Schizosaccharomyces pombe: one gene and its partners. The gene in region 4 interacts genetically with the main gene of each other region. Each region holds a gene or a part of one and is shown on either strand. Other genes may lie near its edges.

The links.
Region 1: of pat1 (region 4) and pka1, extra expression of one rescues a mutant of the other (dosage rescue), as found in Schizosaccharomyces pombe (2 studies listed by BioGRID).
Region 2: of pat1 (region 4) and pac2, extra expression of one rescues a mutant of the other (dosage rescue), as found in Schizosaccharomyces pombe (2 studies listed by BioGRID).
Region 3: of pat1 (region 4) and atf1, a mutation in one rescues a mutant of the other (synthetic rescue), as found in Schizosaccharomyces pombe (2 studies listed by BioGRID).

The regions. Positions count from the first base shown.
Region 1 is NC_003423.3:393,997-401,844, reverse strand, and holds pka1 (cAMP-dependent protein kinase catalytic subunit Pka1), read right to left. Parts: upstream 4,854-7,848; coding exon 3,315-4,853; 3' UTR 2,888-3,314; downstream 1-2,887. Other genes in the region: tho4 (THO complex subunit), read left to right, coding at 1-1, 162-680; plg7 (1-alkyl-2-acetylglycerophosphocholine esterase), read left to right, coding at 1,161-2,477; cut4 (anaphase-promoting complex platform subcomplex scaffold subunit Apc1), read right to left, coding at 6,480-7,848.
Region 2 is NC_003424.3:3,002,896-3,009,270, forward strand, and holds pac2 (cAMP-independent regulatory protein Pac2), read left to right. Parts: upstream 1-3,242; coding exon 3,243-3,950; downstream 3,951-6,375. Other genes in the region: RNA polymerase I termination factor, Myb family Eta2, read left to right, coding at 1-871; RNA polymerase III-inhibiting protein Maf1, read right to left, coding at 5,289-5,900, 6,265-6,363. UniProt on the Schizosaccharomyces pombe protein: Controls the onset of sexual development, by inhibiting the expression of ste11, in a pathway that is independent of the cAMP cascade.
Region 3 is NC_003423.3:1,544,285-1,553,951, reverse strand, and holds atf1 (Atf-CREB family transcription factor Atf1), read right to left. Parts: upstream 7,736-9,667; 5' UTR 7,488-7,735; exon of another isoform or gene 7,092-7,487; intron 6,633-7,091; 5' UTR 6,292-6,632; coding exon 4,591-6,291; 3' UTR 4,090-4,590; downstream 1-4,089. Other genes in the region: plasma membrane OPT oligopeptide transmembrane transporter family Isp4, read left to right, coding at 1,161-3,518; contractile ring-membrane anchor Fic1, read left to right, coding at 9,186-9,233, 9,287-9,667.
Region 4 is NC_003423.3:1,681,079-1,688,644, reverse strand, and holds pat1 (serine/threonine protein kinase Ran1/Pat1), read right to left. Parts: upstream 5,785-7,566; coding exon 4,372-5,784; 3' UTR 4,090-4,371; downstream 1-4,089. Other genes in the region: fructose-bisphosphate aldolase Fba1, read right to left, coding at 1-278; protein mug124, read left to right, coding at 1,440-1,877. UniProt on the Schizosaccharomyces pombe protein: This protein is a negative regulator of both sexual conjugation and meiosis. It phosphorylates mei2. It blocks the onset of meiosis until conjugation takes place.

The DNA of each region.
Region 1 (7,848 bases), 1.3 Mb from region 4:
GGTAAGTGATATATGTTTACTATGTTTTCAAAAGCCTCGCTTTTAGTTTTCGATTGAAGATTATGAAACGAACCTGACAAAAAATCTCCCTGTCAAGCTAAGTAGAGCTTTGTTCCGATTTCGAATCGCTTTTTTTATTAATAAACTAACCTTTTCTTAAGTCTTTGTTTGAAAATTTCCATCCAATTCGCGTGATTATGAACTATGATCGTGCAGGTCGCTCTGAAGGCTCCTGCGATGTTTACTTTGAAACTTCCCAAGATGCTGAAGATGCCCAGAAGACGCTTCAATCTACGAACTTGAAGGGCTCCGAAATTCAAATTTCGAAAAAGTCTCCACCTTCCTTATTCGATCGGATTTCCGACATGCCACATTCAGCCCGCAAACCAAGCCGGTCTTCTCGTTCGAACCGAGGATTCAACCGTTCTTCAAAAAAAGACGACAGATCATTTCGTTCTTCTTCAAAAAAGTCTTCTAATAATTCAATTTCACACGAAGATTTAGACAAAGAACTTGACGAATACGCAATGTCATTTCACGCTGCTTCAACTGTGTCATCTCACTCATCACAGGATTTCACACCGTCAATAGCCAATGCTCATGAGAAAAACGAGCCTGTTGCTCCTTCAAAAGATAGTAATTTGACCGAGGAGATGGACCTCCAAATGGAAGCGGTTTAAGCTCGAATTGCTGTGCAAGTAACCCTTTTCCTATGCCAAAAGTTGATTATTGAGTCAATTGCTTTGATTTGTACATTATAAAAACGAACCGGCTAAAAGGACATCTTTCATCATAACCCCTTACTTTATATATAGATGCTCGTCAATTTCCATCGTCTTCCTTCTTCTACCACAATCGTACGAATCGTACCAAAAATTAAAATTTGCAGCAGACAGATTCATATTACCTTGCAAGGCCAAAAATTTATTAATTTTATTTTTTTTATTTATGTTTATAAGTGCTTGTTAACGAAAGAGATATTTTGTTTTTGTTTCTGGCATTATTCCATTCTATTCCTACTACAGTGATCATAGCAATTAACAATACATCATCACTGTGCTCTTGTAATTTGATTGAATCGTTTTTGACACAATCTTTCATTCTTTAAAATAAAATAAATTTATATATTTCTACATTACATTCTTATTTGTTAGGTAGAAATGGGATTGGGATTTTCTTCGAAAAAGCAATTACCTGCCTACTGTGGTCCCTTGCCTGTGGGGTCTTTAGTCTTAGAGCTGAGTGTTCCAGAGGAATTTCGATGTGAATATAAAACCATTGAACACAAACTAAGAACCGTAAAAGTACGCATTTTTTATCCATTGGACCCAACAAAAGATGTAGAGCCTCGCACCGATGAGCTTTGGTTACCATTCCATGAGGGTATACCCGAAGTTGCGAAAGGTTTTCGTTGGTGGCTTCTTCGTGCGTTCGCTTCTGGTTTGACCAACTTAGCTTTGCCCGTCTACAAAGGAGAGTTGTTTCATCCACCGAACAATGGGAAACTGCCAGTATTTATCTTCAGCCATGGATTGGTTGGCTCGAGAAATGTGTATTCTTCGTTATGTGGTACAATCGCTTCCTATGGTATCGTCGTCTTGGCCATGGAGCATAGAGATAACTCGGCCATCATATCTACAGTGCGTGATCCATTACATCCTGAAGAACCCCCGTACGTTGTTCAGTATCGCGAGATAAGCGACTTTTATGCAGACGCTACGGTTGTGCTTCAGAATGAACGACTTTTATTTCGACAGCAGGAAATCCAAATAGCCCTCCAGATGATTCGAAATATCAATGACCTTGGAACTCCGGACGAAAACTTACCCTTTCTTTGCTCTGTGGACTCTTCTTTTTATAATTCTGTTTTCCAATCCATGAAGGGTAATTTGAATACCGCTCAAGGAGAATTGATTGTTGCTGGTCATTCTTTTGGTGCCGCTACTTGCGCATTCATTTCCGGTTCTTCTACCAAGTCCTTATATAATGACTATATGTTTCACACTGAGTTTAAGTGCTCCATTTTATACGATATATGGATGCTTCCCGTACGCCAGCTCCATTTGAGTACGATGAGGTATCCTACGCTCATGATTATATCTTACGAATTTCGTCGGTTTGTCGACAATTTTCAAGCTCTCGAAAGTTGGCTTGTAAACAAGGATTCAGAAAACCAAAACGCAGGCGAATCCGCTGATGAGAAAATGTCTGTCGTTCCTTTAAAAAAATATTCCCACGTGTTTGTTTATGATGGAACAGTACATGCTAACCAAAGCGATTTACCGATTTTGCTCCCTCGCATGGTACTAAGGGTATTGAAAGGAAAATTTGAAGCAGACCCTTATGAAGCTTTACGCATTAATACTCGTTCATCTGTACAATTCCTTCGTGAAAATCATGTTGAAAATGTTCAGGGAGATAATGATCCTTCGTCGTTGCAAACAAATATTATTCCTGGGTGGGAAAGAATTATGTAGTATTTACCACTTTTACAAAGAGCTAAAAACTCTTAAAAACAAAACTCTTTTGACTTTTCTTGTCTTTTTATCTATCGCCGATGCTAATTATAATATTTATTGACTGTCATGCTAATGAGTTAACTGTTTGGCACAAATTTCTTATAGCTTATAAAGAAGATTTTCGAAAGCTTACCTGTTAATGTGGATTGAATATGGTAACTATTACTTTTTGGGAGCCTGTGCTTAGGACCGCGATGATTAAGGACGAACATTTACGCTAAGTGTGTGATTTTGAAAAATTTAGACTAATATTTATAATTTGTAATATGTCTTATATACTGATAGATTCTTTTATCATTTTACATTATTATTTATTCAACAAAATAATTTACCAACCAATTACGAATGAAACCACCATTAATTATAGATACAAGGAAATTCAATGATTATTAGCGGATATATGTATCTAGTTGTTGCACAGTTTCAACAAACAATGCTCTTTTGTCTGTTCAACATGAAGAAGAAATGACTTGGGGTTTAACATAACCATAAAAAAACAGAATATATAAATAAAATGGAGTGGAAATACATCAGAGCAGGCTAATTGCCTGGAAAAACATCAAAATAAATAGCTTCAACTGAGATCATCATATCCCATCCAAACATAAAGTCGGTCCATTACACCAGCACAAAAAACTGAAGCCAATATTGGTGAATTGCAAAATCAGTGCTACAAACGTCACTTGCATTGCACTAAATCAAATAGGCATTCGTTGCTCAACGCTTTAAGGCAATAGTACAATGAATCAATAAGCATTCGAGTATCTTAAAACAAAACAAACGTGGCACAAAACATCAAAAGTCCTTAAAGATAGAAGTAAATTCAGGATCTTCAGATGTTCCATAATCCGTAGCTACATCAGCATAAGCGTCAAATTGACTGGAATCACCCATTCCAGCTTGAATGGGAGGAACATACGGAACCTCAATTTTCCGAGTAAGGATCTTGTCCCAGCTGATATCACGGAACCAAGGGTGCATAATAATATCCATGCTACCATCTTTCAAATTTCCATAGCGGCAGGTTATGTCTCGCTGAAGTAAATGGCTCAACAAATCAATACTAGCAGGAGAAAAGTACGATGGATAGTTGACCTTGCCTTCAAGGATATTCTCATACAACTTCATTGGATTCTCAGAGTAAAATGGAGGATAACCCGCAAGCATTTCAAAGATAAGAATACCAAGGGACCACCAATCTGCAGCTTTGTTGTACGGTTTTAAAGATATGATTTCCGGGGCTAAATAATCGGGGGTACCACAAAGAGTACAACAGTTGCTAGTAGAGACGCGTTTGGCAAAACCAAAGTCCACAATTTTCAAATGACCAAACCGGTCAAGAAGAAGATTTTCGGGTTTTAAATCTCGATATACGATTTGATTGTGGTGAAGATAATCAAGAGCAAGGATCACTTCTGCTGCATAAAATTTGGCAACTTTTTCGGGAAATCGATGACATTTACGAAGCAAAGAAAAAAGCTCTCCTCCTTCAGCAAAATCCATGACCATAAACAGATTTTTGGCATCTTGGAAAGTACCCCATAGAATGGTAATGAACGGGTGTTGGACACGGGATAAAATGTATCTCTCATCGCAAGTGTGCTCTATTTGCTTCATATCAACGATTTTTTTCTTTTCTAAAACCTTGATGGCGTAATACAGGCGATTGTGATTCGACTGAACGAGATGAACTCGACCAAACGAGCCAGTGCCCAATGTTTGTAAGAAATTGAAATCTTGTATTCCATATCGATCTTTTGTGGTGTGGTCAGCAGGACGAATCCTTCGACGCTGTAAATCGAGCAGCTGACTAACCCGAACTTTACGAATATGGCGATCGCGTAGCCCATCCATAGCTGACCGTCTCTCTCCGTGTTCTGAACCTAGTTCACCACGACCGTCCCGCGAATGTCTTTGATGGCTGCTTTGGCTACTACTTCTACTCGCGCTTTCAGGAAGAGGTGAAGGGATCAAATTATCGATGTTTTGGTAACCAACAGAATGGGCACTTGCACAGCCAGACGTACTGGTGCTAACCAAGCTGTCGGGTTTTTTGCTTTTCGTGGCCTCTTCCAAAGCTTTAGGGATGCCCGAAGTCCACAGACTTGATTCATTATGGTTATTATGACCATTGCTTACACTTGCATCACTACCAACAGAATCATGAACAGAGGGTTTGCCATTAAAAGAATTTGTTCCATGTCGCTGCTGTTCCGAATATTCATTAACGCTGCCGGCATTCATAGATGGATGCAAAGAGGCACTTGTAGATAGAGTGTCAGTTGAAGAACCCACGTTAGTACTTCCTTTGGAAGCAACGGCAGTCGTATCCATGAGTACAAATGTGAAATAGCGTTTATACACGAAAAGATAATTAAAATTCACTAATCGTTCGTCAAACTTATAAAGTACCCGAAAACAAGAATAAGGTTAAAAGAGGTCGAGGCAAAAAGGTCGTTACCTTTGAACAACCTTCGAATATATGTATATAAACCGCAACAATAGCAGTAATCTTAGAGTTCTTTTTTGGTGCGCTGCTTATTATAGCGAAGCAAAAATAAATAAAGAATCAGCGTAGATAGAAAGAGCGAAATTTACTTCCTCTAAATAATTTATTAAAATAAAGAGGACAGCGGCAGAAAAGAAACTATTTTAAGTGAAATTCCAGTCGCTCAACACAAGTAAAAACCCAACAAGAATAAAGACAAATAATACTCGTTTGCTCAATCAATCCGGGCAAACGAAATCCTTCAAAGTAAAATTGGAAGCAACTTAATGTCTAACAAACTGTTATTCCAAAAGTACAAATGAACACGAACGATAATTCGATACACCTGAGACAAAAAATAAGAAGATAAGCTAAATCGACTCTGAGTCCTTCAAAGATAATCTATAGCAGACAAAAATAGATAACAATAGTTATAGCAAGCGTTCAAAAATACAAATTAACATAAACCGACGTTACAGATTCACGGTTTTCACAACAATACTGAGCCTTTCACTCTTAGCGCAGAACCAAAGGTGTATTAAGTAAAACTACAAGTCTTTTTGATACAGAAAGCTTTTGTAGAATTAGCGGCTTTCGAGAAACGAGCTATTCACACTTCCTATGCGTTCGCAAGCTTCAATTTGTGTTTTGCTAACGAAAGAAGTGTTGTGTCATAGGATGCAAGGTTGAAGTCATGCCCTTACTACCCCTCAAAAACGAAGGAATTTTTAATGAGGCGAATAATCGTACGTAAATTATAATAGGGGAATTTAATGTAGATCGTTACAAAACTTCAGCATCTCAGTGCATGTCGGATTTAAAGACTTCTATTTAAATTTTAAGATTGAATTCGTCAGGTGGATTTAGATGGTTTAATACAGTGTATTAATTATCGGGTGTAATTCATTAAATTATAATATTTGGAACCGTTACTCGAAAGTCATAGATTCGAACATCAAGAACTTATGTAAACAGCATACAACGATATAGTGTTAGTTAGTAGCTCGAAGTGTCATGCTTAAATCAATTAATTAACGAAAGGAGGGAAAAGATATAGAAAAAGGATAAAAAAGCTAATCTATTTTCAACGGCGCCTTGAGACAGGCGGTATTACCCCTTGAAGAACCATGGGTGCTTAGTAGTTGTCGCAATAATATTCTTTTTACTTTGCCCAGTGAAATAGTTTGAGCATCAGTATTCCAATTAACAATTTATTATTAACTTCGATTTCCTTTTAACAAACCATTATTTGAAGATAGCTATTAATCATGATCGTGAAAAAAGTGTTGCATTGGATATGCCACCTTGTATATTAATTGAGACATTAAGGTATTTATACAAGTCGTTAATTTTAAGGGGTTCTATTTTTTTAAACTTCAATTTTCCTTTTGAAGGATTGATATGATGGAAAAGATTTTTGGAAACCATTCAGCCCATTAGCATATCATATAATTAATAAACGTAGTTCATAATTATACAGATTCTTCATTATGATTATGAGAATACACATACTCCCATACTCTCAAACTCAAATCTTCTACCAAATCACGAGAAAGGAAAAGATATTGACGGGAGTGAAACTTATTCAAGAGCACACCAGTCCAACAAGACTCAAAAAATTGTAACAGTATTTGCAAACTTAATAAACGGTCTCTAGTTAAATTATCAAAGTCCATAGACAGGAGTAATTTAACGCCTAGAGAAGTTTTATTATTTGATTCTTGTAACGATGCAACGTTTAAGGGGCTATTCGAGCTTTGGAACAACCTGCTTGTTTTTACCAAGTTCCAAAGTGGGCTTGAGGTATCTTTAAGCTTAGGGAATAGATTAAGTGGCTCTTCTTTTGAACTTGTTCGGTCATAAGGCATCAGTGTCAGTGTTTGTGATTCCCTTAATAGTTCACGGTAATCACTGTTATTGTCCAAATCAATTTTTAAATTCCAATACTTATCACCCAACGTCGACACTGAACTAATGCTATCGTACGGCGGCAAAAGTATAGGCGCTTCTAGTTTTTGAACTGCGCCGCTTTTTTGAACAACATTTAATGGCACTATGCATGGCTGTTTGGTATCTTGATTTCTCGGGATAATACAACGTTCTTCCACAGCTAAAGCCCACAAATTTCGAGCAGCTTGCAAATGTGCACGATTATCTTGAGTAGTCCTGGGAAATTGCGGATAAAATGATATTAACAAAGCCGCGATTGCTAAATTACTGCGAGACAAACTATACCTTCCTCCACCTAGCGAAAGAATTCCGAGCGCCATATGAGTAGCCATTTGAGCCCCGTAGTTCACAGGCTCCATTCTCCCATGTAGTACTCTTAACCTTCTCAAAACATCTAGATCACAATAACCCGCCATAACACAAGAAGAAGACAAAGCGACAATTTGTGTACAGCGAATTACAGTCACTGCAGTTACTCTTTCATCGTGTGTTTTAGCAGGCAGATGACACAACCGAATGAAGCTATCTAAAAAGTTGATGAGAATTTCCTTGGCTTTCGGATTACCCGTTCCAGCAAACCTTAAACCTAAAGAAAAACAAATCCCTGCTAAGACATTATAAAGCAGCAAGTCGTCAGAAGAGAGAACCTTTTTTTCCTGTAAATCAAATTGTGAGAGCATTATATCAGGAATTTGATATTTCACCCATTCATAATCTGCTTTGACTTCATCCCACATAATTAAGTTTTTACCGGCAACTCGCAAAAGTATTAGATCTGGACGATAGAAATCAAGAAGATATCGCGATTTAGGAATATCAATTTTTTTCGCAACTTCCAAATCATTAGTCTTCATATATATCATAGTCAAAGCCATAATGGCCCCGGGAGAA
Region 2 (6,375 bases), on a different chromosome or scaffold from region 4:
GATGAGTTCTTCAAGCTTAAGACATACAAATATCAACTTTCTATACAACGAACTACGCGAATTGCTGCCTACTTCTATTTCAAGAAAAGGAATTATTCGTTATTTGAAGGAAATCTACAAGCCGTTGGATCCGAAAGATAGGAATGCATGGGAGGAAAGTGAGCTAAAAAAGCTGTACACCCTAGTTGAACAAGAGGGAACGCGGTGGAACAGCATAGCGAACAAACTGGGAACGTCACCTGCCGCGTGCATGAGTCAATGGAGGTTTGTTGTAGGTACTAGTACTCAGGAAACAATTGATCGGCGCAAATTATGGACGAATGAAGAGGAAGCAAAGCTATTAGACTTGGTAAAGTCTTCTTACCGGTCGTCTTTTCACACAAAAAAAATGACAAGCCTTTTCACACACAATAATCACACTACTTCAAACATACAACGGGAAATACCGGCATCTGATTCCATTGCATGGCATAGCATATCGAAGAAGCTTGGGACTAAGTCGCCGGAAAGCTGTCGAAAACAGTACGAAAAAACAATCGCATCTTATTCTTCTAACCAACGTCAAGAGGAGGATCAAGGGAAGAAAAGGAAGAAGAGAAAAAAGAAGAAATCAAAGGGTAAACGCAAATTTTACGTCGCGGATAGTTTAAAACTACTAGAACATGTACAAAGGCAATGCGGAGAAGCAATCTCCATAAATGCCATTGATTGGAAAGGCATTGTCAAGCAAATGCCAAAATGGTCCGAGGAGGAATTGAGAGCGCAAGCCACAAATTTGGTAGCGAGTGTTCGCGGCTGGAAAAAGACACGTTTAAGTGAGAGTGTGAGAATCGCAATTACAGATTTGAAAAGTCTTCCTCCTGACGTATAATAACAAATATTGCAGACGAAACGTTAATAAGTGCGCAAGAAAAAATAGTCAAAAAATATCTTTTTTGCTGGTATGTCACGTTTGCCCAGGTCATATTGAATGTTTTTCTTGGCTGTCTCAATTTTCCCACACAATATAATGATATTTCTCATCTCTTTTTGCGACAGGGGCGAAAATAGTTGGACTGCACTTCAAGAGCAACCGAACCCGTCTACCTGCAAAACGTACCTACACAAGAATTCTGCAGCATTAAAGTTTATATGGCAGAGCAATGGAGAAGAAGAGTGAGTCACCTGGTTCCTCTCCACATACTGGATACTGTTGATTTAGGTTCATTTGCGAACCCATCAATCATTTTACTTCTCGACATACTGTTGCCAATCTAAATTACTTTCTTTTCATACTTGTTCCAATTGCTGGTTACCTGATATCCTCTCTCGTCTACCTTAATCCGATTAAGTGCGATGTATTTGCAACATGCACGTGTGCATTGTAACCAGCCTCATTCCGAGCCTTTCCGCTTATTTATTTATTAAATTTTTAATGTATATTCGTTATTTAATTAATATCTAAGCATGGATCGTATGGTTACTAACTTATTTCTTACTTCATCCCTGATAATGACGGATAATAGATGCAAAAATGAATGGTTTGGTGGTGGCCAACGAAACAATCGACACTGCTACGGCTCTACTAAAACAAGTCACGTTCAACGGTTCATCGGCTAATATTAACTCAAAAAAAAAAAAGAATAAAATAAGTATAGTTCGGGGTCCGAGATTTCTTTGATAGTCCCTTGGACATTCTATTTTAGCATTTCAACTAACAACTGAAAGGGCCGGAAAATCTTTGAAATTTTTAAATCTGTTTAACTCATCCCAAAGTAATTGAGTGTCGGAAAAGAAATGGCCCGAACGGTTTTATGAACCGGTCCCTACTAAAGAATAACAAAATTCAAATATTGGAAAGGCAGGTTTTGGTTTTGAACGCAGTTGTTGGATTGAAAATATATTCCATTGTACTTTGTACTTGATAATCAAAGTAATCTTGTTGTTGATCATTAAAGGCGTATCAACAGTGTTGGGGAAAAAGTTTACCTTGAATCTTATCTAGCAGCGGAAACTAAATAATTATATTTATTAAATTGTTAGACCAGCCTAAAACTATCGGGATTAGCGTTGGGTAAGGGATTTACGGAATATTTACCGTATTAGGTTTTTTTTGAGTTTTAAAAATTTAACTCGCTAACATAACCGAAGCCTCGCACATATAAACTATCTTTCAACCTACTTGACTCAACTTTTCCTTCACCAACCGCAGTGTTGCATTAAGCAGCAAAACGTTGTCACCTTCGAATAGCGTCTTTTTGACGAATAAAAAGGTTGGACAACAAAATTAAATTAAGCAAATTTGTGTATAAACTAACAGCAAGTGAAGTTGTACCGGTTGTATGATTGAAGCATTGTAAACCAAAGAACAGCTACTTTGCCTTGTCGTACATTAGCTTTTTCCTTTGCAAAGAACTTTTAGGGACCTTTTTTTACCACAACTAGAGAACCGGTGTAGAAAGGTGTTCTATTTTAGTGAACGGATTCGTTTAATTTTTTCATTGAGAAAAAAATTTGATCTATCTTGATTTTTTCGACTGTTTCCATTTTTAACTATTTGTGACGTTTCTTATTGCCAAATTTCAACCTTGAGCATTGTTAAAAAAGCTGAATTTAAATTTCTTTGCTTTTAACATACAAGTGAGCTATTGGGTTTGTAAAGATTTAATACTTGATTGGAAGTTTTTTTGGTCAAGTCTGTTTTTTTTGGGTGTTTTTTTGACGATCAGTTGAAACCGCGAATAATAATATTTATTATAACTCCCTAAAAAAAGAAAGAAAATCATTTATTAAATAATTTTTACTTTCCTTCATTGTTTCTGAATTTTGCTTCTCCCTGCCGTTTAATTGTTTCATTTTCTTTTAGAAAGTACTAAAAGGTAATCAAATCGGCTAGTCTTGCAACTGAATTTTCTTTGAAGATAATATCTAGATTTAATTTTTCCCTGCTTGAATTTCCTAAGATCTTGCGTTCGTTCGGACTGAATTGCATAATTTATTGAAGGTCTCCATTCCTGTATACTTACTCGACTACCCATTTATCGGTCAAGCTGTATATATACACGCACAGTCAACTTATCTTCTACTTATATTTATAAAACTATTTATTTTATTTCTCTTTAATCCGAGCTTCGTTAGTTGATTCTTTTGATCTTTGCATTGGTAACTAATCCAGTGCGCTTTTTTTTTTGAATCTTCGTGACAGCTATTTTCTGATTTTACTTCATCTTCAAACTACGATCTGATCGGCTTTGCCTTTCGTCATGCAAACTTATACAGGTATCATTAAGACCCCGTTGGATGCGATTATCCTTTTCGAGGCCTGTCGAATTGGTCTTCTTCCACGCGTCCAGCGTCGATTGTCCGACCATGAAAGAAGCTTGATACGAGCAGGCAGTGTTTTTGTGTGGGATGAACGGGAAGCTGGAATGCGCCGTTGGACTGATGGTAAATCATGGAGTGCTTCTCGTGTCAGCGGTTCATTCTTAACCTACCGAGAAATGGAGGGTAAACGTAAACCTTACCATCACGGTCTTTCCACCGATGGTTCCCTTAAACGCTCTCCCTCTGCAGATACGACTGGTAATAGTTCCCTAAATGCTTACAGCAATGAGGACAGTGGAGCCGCGAGCTTGAGTGATGAAGAGTCGGTTGATGATGAGAACCTACGGGGGTTGCATTACAAACCGAACGGCTTAATTAAGCAGTCCTTTAGTATTACTACCTCCTTAAATCATAAACTTCACCTTATTTCCTATTCTTCGCCTATCCCTGATCCTTCATTAGTCACGCCAAGTAGTGATGTTAACCTTTCACGTATCACTATTCCATATGGACTGTATCCAGACGCGGGTCCACCGCTTGTTCAAGCACCAAAGTTTCTCGCTCCTTATGATATTCTTGTCGAGAAAGTTGCCTGTAGCGAAGACGCGCGCGTTTTGGATAAGTTGCGTCAAGCCCTATGGCTATAGGTTTGATCTTTTTCTTCACATTGGGTCCTACTTCTCGGTTAAAAAGTGTACTAAATTTACTATAGATTTCATTTGCATCATATATGGGGCTTTAACGACTCCCAATCAATCCTAGTTTCCTGTGACATTTTCTCGGCTGCGTTTTCGCTCTTACTAATCTGCGGCTTTGTCTATCAGCGTCTAATTTATGTGGTTGATCAATTTTAATTTCAAGTTACCACTTCATTCTTCAGCACTTACGGCAAGTGATAAAAACAGAAAGCTTGTTTTGATTTAATTCATTAACTAAGTAATCGCTCAACTGTCTTGCAAATACGTTTTCTGTTCGTCGGTTTAGATGTGTATCGTTATCATAACTCTTTAGACATTTCGCTTTACGCATTATTTTGTTTCGTCTGCGAATATCGGAAATGTCCTTTTTAAAGAATCTTTTGTGGTTATTTCATCAATGCTTCCTTTTTTCTCTTTATTATTTATTTCTTTTCATGATGGAAATGGTTAAGTAAACGTCTATCATGAAGCACGGTAGAACAAGTATTCAACATTTGAATTATGCACTCAACATTTCTATTTTTTACTACTCAACTTAGAGCTCATGTTCGGGTAAAATGATAGGAAAGCATCAATTCTTAGGGTAATTTGAATTCCTTAAATACAACTACTATGAAATTAATTCTTTATCTTTTAAGTAAATGCATAGCTTTTATTTGTTGTAAATGAAGTATTTTCAAAGAAAAGGTAATTTTTAAATTGAATAACTGAATACATCATTATGCTATGTCAAGATGATGCTTAATAAGGCTTCAAATATTCGGGAACTTGATGTGAACGTTTAAAGATAGTTAGGCTCAGATGATTAATGAGGACAGATTAAAAAATTTTCCTCTAAGGTCAAATTGCATGTACAAACCTATGAAACAGTTGTTGGAAATTTTTTAATCTATTATGTATAAACACGTGTGTTGCAAGAGAGTAGAAACCGTAGTACAGTCTGGAAAATCTTAACGTACAAATCACATGTGAAAAAATAGGTTCCTTAAAGGATAAAAAACAAAAAACAAGAAGTACCTAAAATGCTGGGGGCATATTTTTTTTTTCAAAAATGCAAAAAAGAAAGGGTTGCTATAAATAATTTGAAATAAACTAATTAACAGGGAGATATTAAAGAAAGGTGAGGTTTCATGTATTTACAATTAGAAAAAACAAGAAAATTTCGAAAAGTCATGATTCTGAAATAATAAAATGAGCACGGTGCAATTTAGTTTGCGAGTTGAACAAAATGTAAAGAGAGAAAAAGAGAAAGTAGCAGAAACCATTACTTCCCAAATAACCAAAAAATTAATCATCCATGTTAGCAACCCAATCGTCATCAAAATCGCTTGGCTCTGCATCGTCCGCAAGTGGTGTAAACACAGAATCATCGTCATTTCCATAACGATTCCGACCCGAGACTTCCTTGCCCAAACCATGAAGTGATAAATAAAGCATGCGCTTCATATTTTTGTTAAAAAAAAAGTAGGACATCCCCCATATTAAAGCATCATCGCCGTAAGGATCGCTGTCGCTATCTGGAGTATAGGAATAAACGCTGCAATCAGACAGGTTGATATGACGGTCGATAATTTCCCAAATTCCATTCACACTCAATCTACCACGACCAATGTTATTAAGTGTAGAATTAACGGAATCTACAACACGAGATAGTGAAGGCTCTTTGTAAAAATCTGTTGGTTGGAGGCTACTAAAATCATGATCGGGATAAGAGGCATTAAGAGTAGCGACAATGTACATAAAGGTACGACGAGAAGAGGACTGATCAAGAGGCCCAAATGGACTTTGCTGAGTTAGGCTGAAAGCATATTCCGGTGATTTACTACTCGATAATGCAAATAGATCCTCCTGACACCGATTCTCTATAGCTTTAAAGAGTTTCTTGTCAGAATTTGTACTCTATAAAATTGTTAGCACATTTTATATATCAGTATATTCATGTCTTGGTAAGTTAATAAAGCAGAATGCTCCCGAATCTAAAAACAGACACTCAGACGCGGTACTCCATTTGGTAAACAACAATCGTAATCATTTTGGTTTCAGATTTGAAACGTAAAGAAACTAAATAAATAATCACAAAAAAAAACAATGATTATATAATTAGCTGATCTTGTACAAGAGACCAAAAAGAACCAAAATTGTTCAACTTAGTGATTTGACCACGCAAGAAAAGAGGATCATTATTAAAAGCATATGTCAAATTCAAGAACCAATGTACAATTTTCCCTTTACCAGACTAACCAAGCTTACAAGTTAAATTTACCTTGGTTGTATAGAGCTCGCACTTTCCGCGTATGCGACAATCATCGGCATCAAATGATAAGGCATTATTGACTGTATCTAAATCGGCAAGCTCAAGAAACTGGTCACAAAA
Region 3 (9,667 bases), 140 kb from region 4:
CACACACATCAATTGAATCAAAATTATGAAAATATAAACAAATCCTCTTTTTTTTCCTTTTCTTTTTTTTTTCTTTTCTTTTCTTCAGCTTTACATCCCTTTGAATCCTCATCATCTGTGCTTTTTTCAATTCCGTTTTGCTTTGTCAATTCTGCTTTGCTTTGCTTATCAGTTCTACTTTGTCGATTGTGCTTTCTTCCTCTCTCTCCATCGTCAAGCTTTGCCGCCCCTGACCCCTTCATGACAACAGTACGACTTTTATCAAGATAGAATAGAACTGACTGGTCATCTCCTGCATCCCATTTATGTAATAAGGACTTTATCTCTGATTCATATTTCACACACAATGAGCGAAAGGGTTGGTTATCATGGAAGGAAGAAAGAGCAATGAATTGATTACGAGTGGAAAAAATCAAATGCCGCACCTTTTTTCCCTTTTATATATAGAGGTGAAAATCCCTCCATGTGTCAACTCAAAATAAAAGTTGAACAAATTAACATCGATTATTGTTTGCACGTTTTTCGGCAGCTAAATCCCCCCGCCCGCTCCAAGATACTAAAAGTTTGGAAACCATTGTAACATAAAAAGAAAAGGAAAGTTAAAGAAAAAACAAAAACTAAATTGTTATTGTTGCTGTACTAGACTATACTCTACTCTACTTTACTATACTATACTATACTATTCTATTCTAGACTATACTATTTTTGTACAGTCTATAAAAACCATCTTGTATACATTTTTATCTCTACATACGTGGACGTTGATTCCATAAAAACATAAAGGTGTTTTTCTTCCTTCACGAATTTTATTGATGAAGAAGTATTAAACACTTTGCTCTTTTTCCAAATCCCATCCATTGCTCGTTTCTTCAATCACCGTGAAGTTTCGTAGTGATTTTTTTGTGATTTCTTTATCGTATCGCACTGTTCGTTTCGTTTCGTTTCATAAATACATCATTTTCGTTTCGTCTCTCGTCAATTCTATTTGGAAAATCTTGTTTCCTCTCTTTCGAAAACTAAGCAAAAACTTTTTCTAGTATTTCTCTCTCTCAACCATTTTTGGTTTGTTTCTTTTTATTTTTTTGGTGAATCAAGTTTGACTTTTTTTTTTTCTCTCTCTCTCTCTCTCTCTCTCTTGATTCTCCTCCCTTCTTCCCATAATGATCGGTTCCATCAATGAGTCTCCCATCGAGGAGCATATGAATGACTCCCCCTCTACAAAGGAAAAGGCCGACTCCGTCGACATCTCTGATTACATCGTTAGCCATTCCGATGACAGTTTATCCAAAGACATCAAGAAAGACACAAAGTCCTTTCTCGATGTCGAACATGGTGAAATTAGTACGGTTGACGAGTTTGAGGAAGACTCTCCTTATCCAGAGGTTCGTGCCGCCGTCCCTCCTACCGATGATCCAAGTATGCCATGCAACACCATTCGCATGTGGACCATTGGTCTCATCTATTCCACCGTTGGTGCCGCCGTCAACATGTTCTTTTCCCTTCGAAACCCAACCGTCACTTTGAGTGTTTTGATTTCCGAGCTTCTCGCATACCCAGCATTACAGATTTGGGACTTGATTTTCCCCGATCGCGAATTTCGCATTGGACGTTTAAAGTTTAATTTTAAGCCTGGTCCCTTTAACGTTAAAGAACATGCTCTCATCGTCGTTATGTCGAGTGTATCGTTTGGTAATGCCTACTCCACCGATATCATCCTCGCCCAACGTGTACACTACAAACAGCGCTTCGGCTTTGGCTACGAAATCTGTTTGACTTTGGCCACTCAACTTATCGGATACGGATTGGCTGGTTTATCCAGAAGACTTTTGGTCCGTCCTGCTAGTATGTTGTGGCCTGTGAATCTCGTTCAATGCACCTTGATCAAGACTTTACATCGCAAAGACTTACGAAACGCCGTTGCCAATGGCTGGAGAATTTCCCCCTTCCGTTTCTTTTTGTACGTTTTTATTGCTTCATTCATTTGGAATTGGTTCCCTTCCTACATTTTCCAAGCCCTTTCCCTATTTGCTTGGGTCACTTGGATTCGTCCTAATAGTCCAACTGTAAATCAAATCTTTGGTGAATCCACCGGAATCTCCATCCTTCCCATGACTTTTGATTGGAATCAAATTTCCGCATACATTCTTTCCCCCCTCATGGCTCCTGCCGATGCTTTGATGAACATTCTTTTGGGCGTCATTCTATTCTTTTGGATCGTCACTCCAGCCCTTAACTTTACCAACACGTGGTATGGTGATTACCTACCGATCAGTAGTTCTGGTATTATCGATCACTTTGGTAATAGCTATAACGTTACTCGCATCCTCACCAAGGATGCTACGTTTGATTTGGATGCCTATCAAAACTATTCTCCCATTTTCATGTCCACCACCTACGCTTTGGCATTTGGCCTTTCCTTCGCTTCCATCACTTCTGTCATTTTCCACGTGATCCTATACCATGGAAAAGAGATCTACGACAGGTTACGCGATCCACCCGCACCTGATATCCATGAAAAACTCATGAAAGCCTATGATGAAGTTCCCTTCTATTGGTATTTGAGTGTTTTCTTGGCCTTTTTCGGCATGATGATGGGTACTATTTATGGTTGGAAAACGGAAACCCCTTGGTGGGTTATCATTGTCGGTGTCATTTTCTCTGCTGTATGGTTCATTCCAATTGGCATCGTTCAAGCTATAACCAACATCCAGCTAGGCTTGAATGTATTCACCGAGTTTATCGTTGGTTATATGTATCCTGGTCGTCCTTTGGCCATGATGATTTTCAAGACTGTCGGTTATATTACAATGACTCAGGGATTGGCTTTCGCTGCCGATCTGAAGTTTGGTCATTACATGAAGCTTCCTCCCAGAATCATGTTTTACACCCAAATGATTGCCACCATATGGTCTTGCTTTGTTCAGATCGGCGTATTGGATTGGGCTTTGGGTAATATTGATAATGTTTGCCAGGCCGATCAACCTGATAATTACACTTGTCCTAATGCAACTGTCTTTTTTAATTCTTCCGTTATTTGGGGTGTAATTGGTCCCAAGAGAATGTTTTCTGGAAAAAACACCTATACGGGATTGCAGTACTTCTGGCTCGCTGGCGTGCTGGGTACAATTTTGTTCTGGGCTCTATGGAAGAAATGGCCTCAAAAATGGTGGGGTCAATTGAATGGCCCGCTAATTTTTGGAGGTACTGGTTATATTCCCCCAGCTACTCCTGTAAACTATCTGGCTTGGTCTGGAATTGGTCTGTTCTTCAATTATTATCTGAAGAAGATATTCGCAGACTGGTGGCAGAAATACAATTTCACGCTTTCTGCTGCTCTTGATACTGGTACGCAGTTGTCGGTCATTATACTTTTCTTTTGCTTACAGTTGCCTATGGTTAATTTCCCAGATTGGTGGGGTAATGATGGTGCCTTTAATACGCTGGATGCTACAGGTGCCGCTGTTAGGAAACTCGTCAATGAGTCAGCAGGTGAATTCTTTGGTCCCGCCGAATGGTAAAATCAATGCTGTATTTTTTTCTTTGTTTTTTTTTTCCATCTTTTAACAAATGATAAAAATTATAAGCATTGATTTGTATACTAAAGCTTCGTGAATTAATTATGTCTACACTTTCTTTTAGTGTTTGAATATTCAACATCTATGCAATATATATTTTTGGATGATTGATTGTTGTCTATTTTTTTTTACGTTGCATGATTAGATTTGTGTTTAATCAATCGTTCAACAAGTTTATCTCATGTTTATTAAGCTTTCTAATTTGTTATTTTTTATTAATTGTTGTTAGAATTGAATAGTTCGTTCTAAATTGAAACAAACGTTTGCATTTTTATATACGTTTTGTAATGTGAACATCAGTAATTTCATTTTCACTTTTTGTATACATCCTCAATGTAGCGACAAACACTCACTAAGTAAAGTAAATATTGTGAAGGTGCAAATTTTAACTTGATTTCATCTTATGAATGCATGTTCGTATGATAATAGATATGTAAATGACCGATGACAAACCTATTCATTAACTTGATTTATATACTGTTCACGATATTAATACTCCCACAATACACTAAGACTTGTTGATTTCTTACATTAAAGGAAAACAGTAATCAGTTGTTATTAAAAACACTGCTGATTCTTACTAAATAATATAGTTTTAATTATTAAATCAAATCAATCTCATAAGAATGAGTTATAAGTAGTATTCTATAACTCTGCCACATGTGATGAATGGTAAACATTAAGAAAGCGTGTAGTTTTTGTTGTCCAAACGATATTATAGTGAACTAGACACGACAGACAAATTTTATCACTTCATAAAGTACTAAAAGTATGCATGCGGGACGGCGTTCAGTGCAAAATTAAAACAGTAATGGAAAACGGGAAGAAATATAAAAAGAGAAGCCTAAAGATTTTTTAATGTAAAATAAACATATATAATTTCACATCCATAACATAGCTAAATGCATGGAAAAGGGCGTTACAACCCTCAACGGAGGGAAAGTCAAAGGGAAGTAAAAACGTTATTCTTCATTACAACCATCACAGACTGAGACCTTTTCAGATCAAAAACAGTCTAGTACCCTAAATTGATTCTTTGAGCAAGATCACCGCTTCCGATGACACTTGTTGCAACAGCAGCCGAATTACTCTTGGCCACTGGGCAGTCTTTATGAGCAATCAATAAGGTCTTCAAACTCACAATTTCCTCACGTAATGCACTGACTTGTGCACTTAAAATTTCATTTTCATTACCATAAAATTCAACCTTCGCTTGAAGATTAGAAAGCCATTGTTTTTTACGCTGTCTACATTTAAGAGCAGCTTGTCGATTGCGTTCCAGGAAGCTTTTACGTTTCTCTTCATCAGTTTCGTTTTTGGAATTCCGGCGAGATGAACCTTTGCTATACGAAGTGCCGTTGGCAGATTCACTAGAAGCCTTACCATTAATGGAAGAAGTGGGTGAGGATTGATTATTGGCATTACTAGAAGGCTCTTGCGAAGTGGAATAGTCAGTACCATTTTCGAGTTTGACCGGCATCGAATTTGCCGTTGGCATATCAGAATTAGAAGTTTTTTGCGGTAGATTTGTGGATCCATTCTCGGCATTTTGTCCGGAAAAGTCCGTGGTTTGGCGTAATGTTAATGAAGGGTCGGCAGGATTAACTGTATCGCCGTAAACAGATGGCATGCCGTTAAATTGTTGCGACCCCATAAAGTACATAGGCTGTTGCTGAGTACGAGATGCTTGAGGGTTCATTGTACCTGTAACAGCTTGGGGGTTAGTATTTTGAGTAAAAGATGGCCGGATAGAGTCGGGGAAAGTCTGTTGCTGAGTTTGCTTCAGGAGGTTGTTGGCAGTGGTGGATGCTGCTTGATCGTTTTCAGAGGAGATGGGTTGCTGAAGCTTTTGCTGCTGATCGGGAACCTGGGAGAGTAAGCATAACCCATGAACCGCAGCATTGGCACCGAAATAATCAGACTGGTCACCATTCGTCCCATTTACAACAGGCGGTTTACCATCCCTTGGGGTAAAACGATATTGATCAGGAAATTGAGAATCAAACGTATGAAACCCTAATAAATTGGCAGTACCAGGTGAAGGAGCGGGAAATCCAGCTCCAGTAGGGGTTAAAAGAGATCGGAAGGGTTCATTAACACCAGGAGTAAATCCAGTTCCACTAGAAAATCTAGCTGCTGCAGATGCATCTGAAGGATTGTTTAGGTAGTCAGGACGAAGAGTAGCATCATAAATAGCAGGAGAAAGGGGATTATGCATTGTACCACGAGTAAAAGCAGACCAAGCAGGATAGCCCAACGGCGAGGCAATACCTGGAGCTCCACTTAAGATATCAGGTGATGCTATGGAAGAAACAGGAGGTAAGAGAGTTCGCGCAAACGCAGGAGGCACACCTGAAGGAATGTTACTAAGGCTAGGATTACGATTAAGAGAAGGATTTCCTTGTCCAACCGAAGCGGTAGAGCCAAATGAATGCTCAAAGGGGTTGGGTTCGTAATCCAGCTTCAAGGAGCCTACGAAAGACGGAGTTACACCATCGGATTGGTCAGCTGGATTCGCATTAGCGACAGATCCGGCCCCTCCATTAGGAGCGATAGTTGAAGACTGTTGATTCTGCTGAGAATTGTTGCTTGGTGGTGCAAATGAATCAGATTGATTGTTTTCCGGAACCTGAGTACTGGAAGCAGTAGCATTACCATTTGAAACAGCGGCAACAGATGCTGGTTCTGTGGAAGTATTGACGGGAGACGGGGACATAATTGAAGAATTTATGCTTTAACACTTGACAAAATGTATTAAGAGATGACGTTAAAAATCACACACGCTTAAATAACGAAAATAAATAATTTAGATATATAGATGAACCCGTTTAAAGAGAAGATCGAAAATAGTTTTGTCAAAACTAAATAAAAAAACAACTACAAGAAATTAATGGCTTTCCAAATTTGACAAGACAGAAGTAATAACGGCTGATAAAGCAGAAAAAATAGAAACTATATTGTTTCAATAAAAAAGAAAAGAAAAAAAAAGGAGGAGGAGATTAAGGAGATAAAAATACAACTTTCTCGAAAAAAAAAGGGAAAACCGCGACGGAGGCTCTAGACGAGAATTAGTTAGATGTCTGTACAGGCAAAGCTAGAAGACTAGATATGCAAGATTGTGAAGGAAGATATTCTACAAAGGGTAAAAAAAAACTCGCAAAGGTAATAGTCAAGTTTGTAAAAGAACATGTCCAAATAAAATAACAAAGAAACTAATAAAGAATTACAAAAGATAAAAGGGATGTTCCTACTCTTTGTTCTTTTCCTTTTCTTCGTTCGATCGTTTTTGTTAGGGTGTGTTGATTTGGATTATATGAATGTGGAGGCCTTTTTTGAATGAGTTTCAGAACTTAATGTGAGAGAGTACAGTCAAGCGTAGAGTAATAAAGAGATTCGTACTTCAACAGCAAATACACCTGCTAAAACACCCGTTTTTCTTTTTTGGAAATTTTTTTGCCAAAAACGAGACAAAACGGGTTTTCCGCTCTTCTAGCTTCCTTTCTACTCTTGTTCTCTTCCCGTGTGCGTTTATTCACTTCCGAGAAATCATTCATCAAAAGTTGCCACCACATAGATCCCAGTTCAGTCAAGGCAATAGTAACCTACAATGGTAACAAGTAAAATTTTCTAGCACAACAACACCAAAAAAAAATTTCCAAACCCTCAAAAAACGAAGGAATTCCAAACACATTTTACGTTTCCTGTAAACTAACAACCCCATAACGATCAGTGTTATTGATAAGAAAGCGTCATACTCGTCATGTTTAGTAGGGTCAATGACGATAGGAGCAAATTTTCAAATTTTCATAAAAATTCGGTTTTCAACACAACCCGTCACGTTTTTATCACGCTCTTCCAATTTTACAGCCTTTTACATAATCAAACTTCACAATTGCATGTATAAACACATACCTATTTGACTTAATCAACCAAACGTACTAGTAGCAGGTCGTCGTCATGAACCAGAGAATTCGTAATTCAGATCCAACTAAGCGATGACTACTGTATAAATGATGAAAAGACTCGGTCAACTGTCCAAACTGAAATTTACAAACAGAAAAATGGTTTTCGTCAATTCAATCGTTCAAAAAGTGCTCAAAGTAAACTTTTTAGCAATTTCCTAAGTAGTTTCTTTCTTCTTATGTTGTAAGTAAAGGGTAAGTTGTAAATTCCTAGTGCCACACTTCCACCTGTTTCAAACAGATGACGTCATTGCATCACTTTGCATGATTGAACTTAACCAATCACGTGCGGGGCTCTGAAGAAGGGTAACAAGGAAATGGGTCTGGAATAAACCGAGCAAGACGATACTTAAAGTACTGCTGTGTAGTTTTGTATTTTGTGTTATCGTATCGTTAAGAAACGTATCGATAGTTTGGGGAATGGGAAAGGATGGACGGAAAGTAGGATGTTATTGGTATATCATGGAGTGCGTGCTTTTTAAGCAAATATGATGTTAGCAATATGTAGTAAAAATGGTGAGTTTGTGTATAGTGCCATGAATCTTATTTCACTCTTAACTCAAGCTTATTTTATATTAACCGATGAATGAATAAATAATATATCTTTGATGAAGCTAAATCGTTGCGTGTATTTCTGATATTATGTTGTATGTAGGTAAGTGTTTTAGGTTGGACTTCTGCGTGTTTGTAAGATGTGTACGTACGCTGAGTAATTAGCAATGTATGAATAGATCCAGCAGTTCCAGAAGACCTACGAAAAAATAAAATAAAATAAAATAAAATAAAGTAAAAAATAAAATTAAAATAAAAATAAAGATAGGTTATACGCAGAAATAATATACAAGTTTCAAATATTATGAGTACTTGTCACGAATTCAATTATGGAGAATTCTGTACAGTAGGATCTTTCAAAAAGTCTTTACATAGACTTAGATTGTATATATAACATACCAACCCTTACAACATTTAAATAACAGTTTTAATAGCTAATTCATTTGTTTTACAATGAAATCTTTTGCTTACATTTTCGGGAACTTATTAGTCAATACGGGTTGGCATTTTGTTGGGATTACGGATCCGAAAACTACCCAAAAGATAAGCAAAGAAAATGAAGTTTTTTAAAAACAAAATAAATTTGTATTCGTGAAACATAAAAGAATAAAAAAATTAAGTTAGAAACATTTTATGCAAATCATTCCATTCAATTAGCAATTGTGATGGAATTGGTTATACCAATAGATATTTTACACTCATTTTAAAACAATTAAAATTAAGTGAATATATTTGTGTGGTGTGTACTGAGTCAATCATTAATGCAATTAGTTATATTAATAAAGTTCTTTTTGTTTGCGATAACTTTCGTCTCTCTTTTTTTTTTTTTTTTTTTGTTAATTTTTAATTTTTTTTAACACGGCATCTTTCTTCACGAATTTCCTAACTGGAGCCATCAATATCGTAGCGTACACAAATTTCCGTTAAAGCATTTTAAATTGCAGTAAGCTACGTTAAATGAATGAACGAAAGCTAACCCCCGTTATCGGAGACAAACCAGCCCCCTCCTACAGAAGTTGCGCTGCACTGCTTAAAATCCGCACTCGAATTGTATAAAGTAGCTTTTTTGTTTATAACCCGTTTCTCCATCTACCATATGTCAAAGAATCCTCTTGGAACGTTGGTTGTCCGAATATGGAAAGCTGTAAGTCTTAAAAGATGAAGATTTGTTTTGTAAAACTAACGTGTCTTCTTTAGAAAAATTTACCAAACAAGGCTCTAGTGGGCAAACAAAGCCCTTACTGCGTTTGCAGAGTTGGTGAGGTGGTAAAACGTACGCAAACGGATAAGAGAAGCGGTCAAGAACCATCGTGGAATGCGGTACTGGAGTTTAACATTCCCAGTGAATCTTATCATATTATGAAAATAACCGTTTTTCACGAGGGATTTCGAAAGCATCCACACTTGATTGGTGATACTGTATTGTCTTTTGAGAAAGCGATGAAAGAAGAGTTACAAAGTGAATGGTATGAACTAAAAAATGAGTTCCAATTTGCTGGCGAGCTATCTGTGCAATTCAAGTTTATCCCCACTGATCCTCTATACTTTGACCGTGCTTCTTCTAAGCCAGTTTTACAA
Region 4 (7,566 bases):
CGGATGTAGTGGGCAGCGGCGATGGAACCGGCAATGGAGGCCTTTTGGCCCTCGTTGGAGGATTCCTTACCAGCAAAGAAGTGAGCACCACCGTTGGAGGTTTGCAAGATGATGGGGGAACGAGCCTCACGAGCAGCCTCAAGAGCAGCAATAGCAGTGGAGGAGGAGGTGACGTTAATGGCAGGGATGGCGAATCCGTGCTCACGAGCGTAGGTGAACAACTTTAAAACGTTGTCACCTGTAATAACACCAGTAGGTACAATATCGAGAATTCCCATTTTGCTAATTTGTGTGTGTGTTCTATACGACCTTTGGAAGTATGATACTGCAACAGTAGCGCGCAACCCTCTATTATATACCATGGAGCCGGAGTTGGCCTCGGAAAAACTTCTCACCTGATGTGCATATCGATACCTATCCGGTCCGTGGTTACCACCAATCACCGTCCCCTGTTTTAGGGGTTGACGTCAAAAGAAGTTTTTGATTTCTTCCATTTACCATCCCCAATCCCCCCGATAGCGCTCTGCATCGAAGTACGCAATTCCGTTCAAGAACCGTAACACGTTGCGTGGTGTGTGTCAAGGCAAAAGGAAGCGGCGGCGGCGGTAACCAACTCGTTCACCCGATGCACAAACACAAACAAAAGAAACATTACCAACGTAAACATAAATACAAACCTAAGCATTAAACATTTATAAATACAAACATCTAACCTGCCCTATACTATTCATATGTCTATTTCATTTCTATTCATTTCTTTTCATTAATTTCATTTCATCTCCTCTTGTCTTGTCTCGTCTCGTCTCGCTTCTCCATTCTCCCAGCCATCCCTACTTCCCAGTTTGAGTGATGGATTTTTCTACTCAACCAACTTGAACCAGCCAACTAAACTAATGCATTTCTTTTGTTATCACAGTCTGGCCGTCTCGGTTCGGTTCGATGGTGTTGTGCCCACACACCCCATCTGCATCTTCGGTAGTATTCTTATTTTATAGTTGTCGCCTGGGTCAAATGATCAAGAAATGCAAGGCAATTCTTCTTCCAAGCATGCTTGAATTAGCTTTACCATCAATGTAAGAATAGACACTTTGCACCGCATTTCATCACTGTCTTTACACAAGCAGGTATGTGAAATGAAAAGTATTTTTGGACATATACAAAGTGCACAACTAAGTAGCTCTCTCACGTATTGATGATTTTCCATGCGTCCGACCGGCATTCGTTTACGGGAGTATGAATTTCGTAAGTGGTTTGATTGATTGAATGCTTTATCATTTTTTGGTTATCTAGTACCACTTGTGTTTCGCTTGGCCACGAGTAATATTAGTCCAGCAATGAGGTGAGAGAAGAGATCATCGTTTGTGTACATAACAAGAGGAAGAAACATTGATAAAAAGGAATTGAGAGAGTGGAAGAGGATGAGACTTGACTAGAAGAGTATGAGACTGCAGTCACTGTCAAGTGTTGCTATTGCTGAGACTAGGAGACAAATCATTCTTACTATTATTAACTCTCTTGTTTACTTGGTAAATTTCATTTCATGTCCATCCATTCATTCCATTCCATTCCACATCTCCACCCATCTCACATCATGTCAAGCTAATATTTCTCTGCTCAAAATCGTTGGTCTGCATTGTCCATTCCATCGTCGTGGCATTGCATCTCTGAGTGTATGTGTGGCATTGCATTGGATTGCGTTTTCATGCTCGGTCATGTGTCACTTTGCTTGGAGTTGCGCTTTGCCTTGTTTTGTCGATTCATTTTTTCCATCCAATTTCTTCCTTCGTACATACGCTTTGTTTACGTTTTCGCTGCAGCTCTGGTCAGGTAACGATTTGCAAGGCAACCATTCCTATTTAGCAACCCCGACACGATGACCGATATACCTCGTTACCTAGATGGGCTCGGTTGATGTCAGCGGCACTTGAACCCTTCGCTACGGATAACAATTGGATTACCGCAGGGAAATGGTTGGAACGGATAAACTCTTGTTGTTAGAGATAAGCAAAATCTTGACGAATATTGTTCCTCGCCTCTTTGGCAACGCAACGCATCGATATAACGATGTAGGGCAATGCACTGTAAGCGGGCTATGTGAGGTTAACGTGGGCTTGTGAAATGAAAGGGAGAGCAGAGGGAAATGGAGAGAGAGAGAGAAAGAGTAAGACTGCAGACGCTGGATAAGTAGCATAACGCAGTGTAACTTGTAACATCGTAACACATCGAGGATAACATATAGACAAAGCGTCGTCGTAACGAATATATAGAGAGAGTTAAAAGACTAGGGTATAATATGTTTACTTGCACGCTCTACTAAATAATAGGTATAGCACGTATATCCAAGTTGTAACTACAGCTATGTACAAGTACATCTCATAGCACAATATACACATATATAAACACATTATGTGGTACAGCCTGTAGACTTTTTATATTTGATAGCATGGTTTGTCGAGTTGTAGGTTTTATTTATTTATTTATTTTTTTAAGTAGACAGCATAGTTTGTGTAATTGATTTTCCATCCATTAAGTTTATTATCCTACTTTTTCGTTTGCACAGAATCTCATTCACTAATACACTCATACATACACACACTTTTTCTTACCCAATCCTTTCTATTTCATTCCTTTACTCCTAGCATTCTTTATAGAAATACATATTCCACTTCATTCACCTATTCATCCATTCATCATTCATCTATCCACTCTATCTTTCTCATTCCTTTCCATTCCTTTACTATATATGCACTACAACTTCATATTCTTATTCCCTAAACAAAACCATAGTGTTCTTCCTTTGCCTCTCTATTCTTTTCCGCTCTTGTTAGCTCTTCACTCAAGCTGACATCCCTCTTCCAGCCCTCCGTCTAACCTTTTTTTCTCCCTGCAAATTAACCTTTTTGTTTCACCATCTCACCATCTTCATCTCGCCTAAAAGGTCTCGCATTCGGTTTCGCCCAAACATAACTTACCGGAACATGCCACCTGCCATCGCTACTCTTCCTGTGGTGTACGGATGATGGTAATGATGCATTCCGTACAATACCCCAAAAAGCTATGAGAAAAAGGTTCCCTATTCCTTTCCAAATTTACTTTTTCTCCCCTGGCGTGGCAAAGTAGCGTAACTCTTCCTATTCCATCTACTAGAACAACTCTTTCGCGTGAGTTACAGTCCCGACCTTCCTTTCCACTTCTTTGTTTACTCGCACCTTCACGCCCTATTAGAGTAAAAAACACTGCCAAAAATTTTATACTATCAAAAAAACGCCATTTTTGTGTACTGCAAGAATCATTACGGTATTTGTAAATTAGCTTCCAAAACGGTTAAACTCTATTAACAAAACACACAGATAACCTCTGTGTACAGCCTAATAAAATTCTCGACCTAGTTCAACTTTCCTATGCCTATCTAAGCTTAACGAATTTTAGAAGCATTGGTTTTTTAAAATATAGCGTTATCTAAAACAGAAAAACTGTATCATCTATTAATGCAACCTAAAGTAAAAAACTATATACATATAAATTTATGAATTTTGTTACAATGTTTACTACATACACTTTACATTCAGTGGAAATTCGTGTAAAGATAATAAATAACAAAGTTTAGTAAAATTTGTCCCCTTACAGGAAACTTATAATTGTATTATTGCTATAATTTAATTGCATCTTCAAACCTAGTTTTCTAATTTCTTTCTCTATCATCCTTTACTAAAATATATCTTTACTTAACTTAACAATATCTTTATTTTTGAAAATATTGTCCAAAAAATATTCTATATACACAACGATATTTGATATAATAATTGCTTAAAAATATCAGTAAAAATATTGTAATATTAGAATTTACAAGAAGATATCTATAAATTTAATTTAATATTTTAACTTTTAACAATATTATTACAAGTTATGAATAATATCCTTCTATCTTCGTATTCCAAAAGCTTAGTTTGCTTTATCTCTTCAACATTTCGAGTATAGCGGTGATACAATATGACTGCATGCTTCATGCTCTAAACTCTTTAAATTTACTATTACAACCGTCGTTAAAACGATCCATTCGTCTACCTTTTCTTTTTTTTTTTTTTAAGTATATATTTATAAAAAAATTTTTGTTTTAAAGAACAAACCACAAGCAAAAAAAATTCATCAATGTTGTTAACAGAAAAAGATAATGCTACCATCATAATAAACATATAAAAAAGAAGAAATATAAGTATAAAACAAGTGCATAAAATGTTAGCTATTTACACAATGTTAAAATTCAAATCCCGAGAAATAATTATTGGGGCAGTCAAAGCCCTCTATAATGTTTTGCAGTAACCCTGAACAAAACAACGTGCGGTAGCGAATATAAAAAAGAAGCAAGTAACTTTAGAGCGATTTTCGAGATGGATCTACGGCATCAGCAGCACGACCAACTGGTGCAGGATGCAAAACGAATCCAGTAAAAGGTATGGGAGTCAGCGGAGGTTGATTAGGATAACCGAAAATTTTTGCATTATTCGGATAGGGTGTGGGTGTAATAGGCATATATGAGTTAGCATTGTTATGGACAGCTGCTGCCGCCGCTGCGGCAGAAGGCCAGAATGATTCGGTTGCATGAATAGGTGCTGTAAGAGGTGTAGTCGGATCTACTTTAAGTGAAGAATTTGGTGTAAGGACTTGTAAGGAGACAGGGATCGTTGGAGTAGCACAATGATTCCAATTACTTACAAACTGGGGAGTCGGAGGCCAGGGAAAGCCAATGTTTTGAGTCGGCATATAGCCTTGATGAGGGTAACCTTGAATTCCTTGTTGCAAATTCATTTGTTGCTGTTGTTGTTGTTGTTGGTATGCGAGATAACGAGATGAAACAAGGGGAGCAGGTCGTAAACGTCGTGTAAGGTTCTTACAGTTTGATACTAGCGTGGAAAGTTCGGGTAATGTGATTCGGGTTTTGGGATTCCTATCAAAAATTCGATTGAGTAGAGAATTGAGCTCTCTACTGATGGGTAAAATGGATAAAAGGGTTGATGGATTGTGAACGTAGGAACGGTAAGTACCATCAGTTTGAGAACATGCACGCTTCCAAGGGTTCCTCTTACAACACAGATTAATTAATATAATTCCCAGAGCCCAGACGTCATTTGGCGCTGTAGCAAAGCTGGATGATTGTGATTCTATAGGTTCAGGAGTTACCGGTAGCATATCTGACAGCGAACTAAGTTTTTTCACCTCCCGTTGACATTCTGGAGACATGTAAAACAGACTACCACATCCAAAGTCACTTGAATAGGGTTCTGTAGTAGCCAGACCAAAATCAGCTAAGTATACGGTGTTTACATCATTTCCAACCATAATGTTTTCGGGTTTAAGATCTCGATGATATATGCCAACTGAGTGACAATGTTCAACAGCAGAAATAAGCTGTAAAAAAACGGTTTTAATTAAATGACTATTCCCTTGATATACCTTTTTCTCCGTGATGTAAGTAAAAAGGTCGCCATTCGGACAATACTGGAGAACGACATAAATGGCGTCTTCCGTTTCTAACACGCGGTGCAATGTAATAATATAAGGATGTGAAGAAACACGAGCATGTAAGGCAAGTTCGCGAGCTTGTAACTTCTTCTGCTTTTCATTTAAGCCATCCTTACATAAAGCCTTTACTGCATACAAGGTACCGTCGTAAATGTCTTCTGCTTTGTACACGACACCATAAGCACCGGCACCGATGATAGAAACAAATCGTAAAGAATCACCCAAGACCTGACCCAAAAGGAGTTCTGGATTTTCGCGCATCATCTAATGTTTAGTAAAGATAAATTAAATAAAGTCCCAATTGATGGCGAAAATTAGATAAGAAAATAGAAAATAAGTATTTCGGATGATAAAGTTTTGAATAGCTTAAAGAACTTTGCAACCGAAACAAAAAAAAAACTTTGAGAAAGGTTAGATTTTCTAATGTCTTCTAAAATCAATGATAAAAAAAACAAAGATCGTTATAAACAGGAAAATAGTCAATAACACAATGATAGGTTTTATCTTGATCGTTTGAGGTTTAATAATATAAGGGAATTTACAAGAAAAAAATTTTTTTTTCAATTGTAAGCAGGTAAAAAATACGACAACGAAGAATGAAAAAGAGAATCGAATACGCCAATCACAGAGAAAACGACCAACATGCAAGAAACAAAATTAATAAAGAAAAGGGGAAATGCAATTGTGGAAGGAAGAGTTAAAACGAATAATATATAATGTTTATGATTAAAAAGCACAGGTCCTTTTGAGTACAACGAATGGAAGTGAGAAGGGAATGTGAATAAAAAACCGGGAAAAATGATGATTAGTATTTTAAGCAGGGAATAAAAAGTAAGAATGCTCAAGATAATCAAAGGAAACTCTAAAGATCAACGTACAAACAAGACACACAACGATTTTCCAAAGGAACAGTAAGAGAAATCGGGAAAATGTACAGGTCAGTAGTCGGTTAAAGATGGGGGAGAAAAGTAGAATTAATTTTTACCTAGTAGTATATCCTTTCCAAATTGAGGTAAAAATGAGAATAGAATGTTCGGTTTAAAAAGAAGAGAGGGGATGAGAAGGAAACACAATCGACAATCAACGCTTGCGAGTAAGTCAATAGACTTAGGTGGAAGAGTTGGACTGGGGAAAAAAGAGATGAGTTCACCTAATGTCAATAAGTATGCACAGCAATATGGATTTGTGAATGTAAAATGAAAAAATCGAGTAATTAAGAAAAGCCGAGAGAAGAGAATTCTTGAAAAGTATTTTCATCAAGCACAAAGGAATTTACAAGAAATCGTTCAGGGTAATTCCCATTTACATTGGGGAAAAGCAGAGAAGTAGTAAGTTTGGATATGGAAAGAAGTATCTATCTCTAATCGAAGAGGCTAGGGGAAAGAACAAAGAAAGGAAAAGCAGACGCGAACAAGAACCAAAGACGAAAGTGAAAAAGAATAAATAAATAAAACAAAAAAAAAATAATAAATTAAAAAAGAGGAAAAGGAAACGCGACTCAAATATGACTAATGCTCGTCGCGATGAGAAATAGTGATTTCTTTGTTAGAAAAACGAGTAAGATGGAAACTTTTAGACACGGGAGATGATAAGAATCCAAGAGGAAGAAGGGAAAACAAATGTAAAAGAAAACGAGGATGGTGGAAGGGAGGATATTAGTAAGAATAAAAAATGGTGGTTAAAGAAAAAATAAAATCCAAATTCGACAATTCAACGTTTGTTTATAGAATTTCGAAGTTTTTAATTAAAAAAAAAATAAAATAAAAAAAATAAGAATACAATCCAAACTTGTGTAGAATGAATAAAAGATAAATTTTTTAATTTTGGTTCGATTTCTAATCAGATAAAAGTAGTGTTTTCTTTATTGCTTTAACACAGTAGACAGCCGAACAACCTGAGTAAGAGTAATCGCGTTAATGACCAGGGGATATGAAAGCTGAAATCGAAATTCTGGAATTGTGGTTAATCACCCACAGGATCCAGCAAGCAAGAACGCTTTTCTAGCTTGCCAAGAAGAAAGGAGCAAGTGCAGAGATGAATTGTTGA